2 linked regions of the Oryctolagus cuniculus genome follow. The protein of the gene in region 2 interacts with the protein of the main gene of each other region in a pairwise test. Links are inferred from orthologs where the notes say so. Each region holds a gene or a part of one and is shown on either strand. Other genes may lie near its edges.

What was found. The genes of interacting proteins can lie anywhere in the genome.
Region 1: the proteins of REL (region 2) and PRKAA2 interact in binary tests that used the Homo sapiens proteins (3 or more experiments, as listed by UniProt). The link is inferred for Oryctolagus cuniculus from reciprocal best matches to the Homo sapiens genes REL and PRKAA2.

Annotation. Positions count from the first base shown.
Region 1 is NC_091438.1:116,460,508-116,464,163, forward strand, and holds part of PRKAA2 (5'-AMP-activated protein kinase catalytic subunit alpha-2), read right to left. Parts: intron 3,626-3,656; coding exon 3,499-3,625; intron 3,029-3,498; coding exon 2,790-3,028; 3' UTR 1-2,789. UniProt on the Homo sapiens protein: Catalytic subunit of AMP-activated protein kinase (AMPK), an energy sensor protein kinase that plays a key role in regulating cellular energy metabolism.
Region 2 is NC_091433.1:141,782,647-141,786,302, reverse strand, and holds part of REL (proto-oncogene c-Rel), read left to right. Parts: intron 1-214; coding exon 215-319; intron 320-427; coding exon 428-640; intron 641-1,966; coding exon 1,967-2,035; intron 2,036-2,163; coding exon 2,164-2,229; intron 2,230-3,656. UniProt on the Homo sapiens protein: Proto-oncogene that may play a role in differentiation and lymphopoiesis.

The DNA.
Region 1 (3,656 bases), on a different chromosome or scaffold from region 2:
ACTTGTCAGTCTTTGTCATATCCATTGTCATCCTCAAGGGAGGAGAGCAGCATGTAATATTTTCCAAGCTTACTCCATCATGAACTCTTTTCCTCAGCAGAGTATCTCACAGGATGCACTATGAGGCATGCTGTTCTAGAACCACATGGAGTCTATTCCCATGACACATCTAAAGCTTTATCTATAGCCCAATAACAGAAGCTCTCCTGAAGTGTCTTGATTGCAGGACATTGTGCTTGGCTCAGACCTATCTATCATCCACAGTTCAGCAATATCTAAGACTGATATGTAGGAATTTTAGATTAGAAATTGATTCTTTCCCTTCTTGTGCTCACAGGTAACAAAGAGTCTACTATTGAGCTAGACAGGGTCTCCTAATGTCTCCTCTCTACAAACTATTTCACTAAACCATCTAGAGTCACAGAATATCTGTTTTAAAAAAATTTACAAATGGAATAAACAAAACTGCACCCTTTGGGTCTCCTACAAGTCAACAAGCAATTATCAATCTGTGGATGTTCACAAATTCTGGTAAGAATGAGAAAAAAATTAATAAATTTTTAACTCTCAAAACATATGATAATCATCCATATAAATTTGATGTGAATAAGTTTCTATTATCTGGCTCATTAGAATAACAAAACTAAAATGCCACTGGATTATTTCTCATTGTTTCTCTGCCTTCAAAATTGTGGACTTTGCTACTGGGGAAAAGGAATCTGTTTAGTTCCTTATTTCTAAGATCTTTCCATTCATATTCAGGCAAAGACTGAATGGTTCTGTTTTTCTCAAAAGAGGCCTGTACACATTTGGAGAAGCCAAAATGATGCCATTTAGCAGACTGAATATCAAACTAATACAGGACTACTTACCCACCTAAAACAGTAAATGAAACAACAGCCTACTGGTGCCACAAGATGGCAATGTTTCAAAGGTTAAACTTCAGTACTATCTCAAACTCCAGACCATCCCGCTCCCCAGACTGGTGAACAAGGATCCCTTTTATTTTGACATTAACAAGCCCAACTTACAAGTTACTTAACAACATTTTTAAGAGACCTAAAAACAATGTGATACAATGCAAACTCAGAACTTAAAAAAACATTCCAAGACAGACATTCTTGTCTTTGATAAGCACGGGAGAAACGTTTTCTAACATCTGCTTCTTGGTAGAAAATATCCTATTTTTGGCAAAGAGAAATTTGTCAAGGCAATGTCATCACTTTGTTTTGTTTCGTTTTCAAGAGCTTAATATTTTTTAGAGTAAGTCATGTGAATGAGATTGTTAATTATAACATATTAAATACAATAAATGAATAAATACAATTTAGATAAATTACACATAATTTAAAAATTAAATATTTTTAAAACAAAATATAATAAATGAGTTATTATCTACCCTGATATATAGTTTTCTTTTTTAATCTTAAAAATAACCTGCATGAAACAAAACAGCAAAAAATGTTTGGTTTTTCTGAAAAGCACTAGTATGTGAATACATATATGTATATATGTAAACAACACATACATTTATTCAAGAGAGAACTTTTCTCAATGTTTAAGGCTTCTCTGCCATATCAGGTTCAACAGTGAAGGTCATGGCCTCTCAAGTTTTGGGAGTACATAAAAGCCCTTGGGGCCAGAATGGTGTTTTCAAACTGAATGGCCAGCAACCAAGAAAGGTAGTGGGAAAGACTCAAAAGCTAAGTTAATGGACCACTGAGGATCAAACAATGAGCAAAGACAATGGTGATTAGTTGGGTTAAGGAGGTGACAGCGATTAGAAACTTAAACTTTAAATGAAGAATTTGCAATGTGAAATGCAAGAAGACCTTCACCTCCTTAACTCCCCCTAATCCCCATCTCATACATACAAAATAAAGGATCAAAAATAAGAGTTCACTTTTAAGGGATCATTGATACGTTGCTTTGTTTCATTTAACTGTCTACTATTGTATTATTCTTTGTTAAGTGCAAAAACATAAAACAAGCCAAAACAAATTTGAGAAAAGTAGGTTTTGAAGGCGTATTTTAAAAGGACATGTTTATAGAAAAGATAAAAATTGTTGCAATTCCAGATGATTTGTTCCAATACCAAATCGAACCCTGAAAGCTCTTAGGCTAAAACCTATTATTTAGGGAAATCTCAAGATAAAGTCCTGAGGTTTCTATAACTGTTTATAAGGTACCTGGAAATCGTGGTTACCTATTACAGGACCACAGCCCTTCTGGTGAGCACTAGGCAATATTTGCAAAAACTTGGCTTCTGAAATTTGGGAGGGCAAGTTTTTAAGAATTCACCATTTATATAATATCTAACTAGTGGTTGTGTTTTAAATCTTGTTCAAGAAAACTGGGGTTGTATAAACACTGCTTAAAGCCTACTGAAATTTAGGAAGCAAATGTGACTGACCTACAATAAAGAGTGAAGCAGGGAGGTATTGACAAACCCCTCTCATGTTGAGAGGGTTCCTCAGTGAGTTGAGTAAATCACCTGAAGTGAACCCACACCTGTGAATTAACAATCTTCATTGATGTCCAATAGTTAAAGACACTGCCTATGTGATTTTATCACAGGCACGTTAGAATTACAGAGTTCTACAGGTAAATAAAATGTCAGACATTTTTGTTTTCAATAATTTCAATGGCATCGAGTGTCCCCTGGAAATATTCATGTCTCTTAATTAGTATTGCAGATATGTGACATCCAGAAGTAAGATAATAATTTAAAGAATATATCTCATCTTTCACAGTGCAGTAACAGAAAGATAGAAACCAGGGACAGATCATCAACGTGCTAAAGTAGTGATCAGACTGGCACACATTTCAAAAAAATCCATGGTGTGACTGCCCAGGCGAGGTGAAACTGAAGACAATGTGCTTCCTGTCAAAGAGCCAGTGAGAGAGCCAGAAAGCGAATGACTCTCTGCAGTGGTAGAATCAAAACTTGATCTTGGCCTGTGTAAGCCAGCCGCAGAGCAGGAGCGCTGAGGTGTTGAGGAACCAGACCTCTGTTCCACTACCTCATCTGGAAAGGACAAAAGAACAATTCATACATAAATTCTATTTGCCCAAGTCCTCTACGAAATTGCTATATTCAGGAGATTATATAAACATATTGGAACAAAGGCAGCTTAGTAATAAATGTCATGTTCAGTGTTTCAGGAGCAGAGGTGGTAATAGCTCTTTCCTCCTAATCCATCACTAATCAATCACAACACTTCCACATGGTCAAAATATGATCCCTAAATCCTTCTCGACAAAATATGTGGTATTAATATTGAAATCAAACTGATAGCCCCACATTTGAAGAAAACATATCATTGACAACTTAATATCTTCCATTATATCAAAAAATAATTTCACTTAATATTTTGTCTAGATTACTTAAAAACCCGTCAATATTTACCCACCATGTCTTTGAGATGATTTTAAAATCTGATCAACTAGTGCCAAGTTTTACTTTCTTAAGAGTTTATACCTGCACAGCTTCCTTACCATCAATGCTTTTAAAGTCCAAAAGATAGCTTCTATTATCAACCAGGTAAAGTTGCAAGCTCATTTTCACATAATTGCCAGTCACTGGATTTTTTCTTCTTACTCGAAGATGGTATGCATTCACTACCTAAAATAGGAAATCAATGAAACAAACTACA
Region 2 (3,656 bases):
CTTATCATTTCCTAGAAATAACATCATAAAGCTCTAAACCAAGTTAGGTGAAGCAGTTAGAAAAGAAAGGGACAGATGTGGATGATTAATGTGTTTAGTATCTTTTATTTGTATGCTGAAACATTCTTTAAATAGTTTTCCTCAAGTCCTCCCCTTCAAAAAGAAATATTTTACCAAGGTAGAAACTCGTATTTTAAAAATTGTTTCTTTGTAGGTGCTCCAAATACTGCAGAATTAAGGATTTGTCGTGTAAACAAGAACTGCGGAAGTGTAAGAGGAGGAGATGAAATATTTCTACTTTGTGACAAAGTTCAAAAAGGTACTTCATTTTTGTATTTTGGTTCATTAAATTCAGAATGTTTTTAGATTAATAGATGGATTTTATTTTGTTTTCCCTTTGTTATTTCTTTGGTTTCTTATTTACTAGATGACATAGAAGTTCGTTTTGTATTGAATGATTGGGAAGCAAAAGGCATCTTTTCACAAGCTGATGTACACCGTCAAGTAGCCATTGTTTTCAAAACTCCACCATATTGCAAAGCTATCACAGAACCAGTAACGGTAAAAATGCAGCTTCGGAGACCTTCTGACCAGGAAGTTAGTGAATCTATGGATTTTAGATATCTGCCAGATGAAAAAGGTATGACATTTTGGTGGCCCATAATCCTTGGGCCCCTGCACCCACGTGGGAGACCTGGAAGAAGCTCCTGGCTCCTGGCTTTTGGATGGGCCTGGCTCCGGCCATTGCAGCCATTTGGGGAGTATGCCAGCGGATGGAAGACCTTTCTTTCTGCCTCTCCCTCTCTCTGTCTATAACTCTGCCTCTCAAAACAATCTTTAAAACATTTCTTAATTTATTTGAATGAAAGAAAGCTCCCAACTGCTGGTTCACTCTTCAGATGCTCAGAATGGTTGGGGCAGGGCTGGGGTCTAGGCCGAACCAGGAACTCAATCTGGGTCTCCCACATGGGAAGGGACCCAATTATGTGAGCCCCCATTTCTGCCTCCCAGTGTCTGTATTAACAACTAGGAGTCAGGAGCTAGAGCCAGGAAACCGATCAAACCCAGGCACTCCAACGTGGGATGCGAGCATCTTTAACTGCTAGGCTAAACACCTGCCCCCTTTCCATGAACTCTTTGAAACCTCGTGTTATTAATGTATGTTTCTTTTCCTGAAAGTTTTCATTTTTTTTCTATTCCTCTATTTTTAAAAATACTCATTTTATTTGAAAGGCAGAGAGAAAGATCTTCCATCTGCTATTTCACTCTTCAAATGCCTGCAACAACCAGGGCTCAACCAGGCTAATGCCAGAGGCCTGGAGCTCAGTTCTGGTCTCCCACATGGATGGTCCTGAACCCAACTACTTGGGCCATCACCTGCTACCTCCTATGGTGTACATTAGCAGGAACCTGGATTGGAAGTGGAATAGCCAGGACTCAAACCAAACACTCTGATAAGGGATACAGACATCCCAAGCAGCAACTTAACACTTTGCCAAACACCTGCTCTGATTTTTTTTTTCCTTTACATGCTTTACATCTGTTTCTTAGGTTTGATTAATCTGGAATTGTTTGAGTATTTGAGCTGTTTATCAAATTTTCTGTTTTATTTTTGAGGCTCTATTTTTTTCTCTTGTGCATCCTTTTAAAAGAGGGGAAACTTGCCACTCAGACTGGTCTTTGTTTTGGCTCTTTTATCAGAACATTTTTTATTAGTTGATGTTGTTAACTTATAGGTATTAGAAGCAAACAAGATAAATATTTGAAACATTTTTACACGATAAAATATTCTTTCCCACTGGTTTGGGACATTCTTTACACTTTTATACTTACTAAGTCCATACTATGTACATTTATTTAAAGCATTTTCATATTCTTGTTGAAATAAAACGCCTGTTTGTTTATTAATGGAGAGGAAACATAATCATGGTGATTCACCTGCTTTCTTCATTTCTTTTTTAATCAGATACTTACGGCAATAAATCAAAGAAACAAAAAACTACTTTACTTTTCCACAAACTGTGGCAGGATTGCGGTAAGTGTATTTTGTATTGATTCATATTTATGTAGGTTATATATTTTGCTTTTCATTTTTTTCAAATTTTAACTGATAATGTTATTTTTCAAATTATACTTAATAATGGGAAAACTTTATCATAACAGTTAATTTTCCTGAGAGATCAAGACCAGGTTTCCGAGGACCAGGAGAAGGAAGATTCATCAAAAAAGGTATTTTATCCCCAACAGTATATTGCTTGTCATCAGACTAATATTTTATATAAGAATTCCATTTTTAGGAATGAGTAACTGCTTCTTTGTTAAACACTCCTGTAAACTTTTTTAGGCTTTCATTATTGAATGAATTGAGCTCAGTACCTGAAAGTTGCCCTGAAAACAGATTATGTTTTGCAGATTTACTGTCTAAGAAATTGTATTTTATTTATTTGGTGGTATTATTAATTGTAGTGTATCATGGAAGAAATGGTTTAAATCTGGCTGGTCATCTTTTTTATTTTTTATTTTTTTTAAAGATTTTATTTATTATTTGGGAGGTAGAGTTACAGAGAGAGAGAGGGAGAGAGAAAGGTCTTCCATCTGCTGGTTCACTCCCCAGTTGGCTGCAATGGCTGGAGCTGAGCTGGTCCAAAGCCAAGAGCCAGGAGCTTCTTCCAGGATTCCAAAGCAGGTGCCAGGGCCCAAGCAGTTAGTCCATCTTCCACTGCTTTCCATAGCAGAGAGCTGGATCAGAAGAAGAGCAGCTGGAACTAGAACCAGTGCCCATATGGGATGCTAGCCTTGCAGGAGGATGCTTAGGCCACTCACCACAGCATCAGCCCCGATTTTTTTTTTTTTAAGCCAGTGTCATCCATCACCCTTTGTTTGTTTGATATTTACTAATTTATTCATTCATTCATTGAGTTATTTGAAGGAGCCAGAAGCTTCTTCCGGGTCTTCCATGTGGGTGCAGGGGCCCAGGGACTTAAGCCATCTTCTGCTGCTTTCCAAGGCACATTAGCAGGGAGCTGGATCTGAAGTGGAGCAGCTGGGACACCAGCATCCATTTGGGATGCTGGTACTGCAGGTGGTGGCTTTACCCAGTATACAACAGTGCTGGCCCTGTCATCTATTTTTAAAAATTTTGATTGGAACACAGCCACAGTCATTTCATTATATATTGTTTCCAACTAGTCTCTTTTTTACAGTACAGCAACAGAGTTGGAATAATCCTAATAGAGGGTGTATATAGTCCACAAAACTTAAAATACTATGTGGTCCCTTACAGAAAAAAATTTGCCAAGCCCTGGTTTAGAAAATACAACCAAAAATTAATTGGTAGTCTTTTTCCCCCATTACATTATTTTTTTTAAAATTAGCTCACCTATTTTTACTTACTTCAAAAGACAGAGATCTCCTATCCACTTATTTACTCCCCAAATGCCTTCAACAGCTTTGGCTGGGCCAAATCGAAGCCATAATCTAAGCATTTAATCTGGGTTTTCTCAGTGAGTGGTAGGGACCCAACTACTTGAGCAATTATCTGCTACCTCCCAGGGTGCACATTAGCAGAAAACTGAATCAGGGGCCAGCGCTGTGGTGCAGCAGGTTAATGCCCTGGCCTGTTTGAGACCTGGCTGCTCCACTTCCCATCCAGCTCT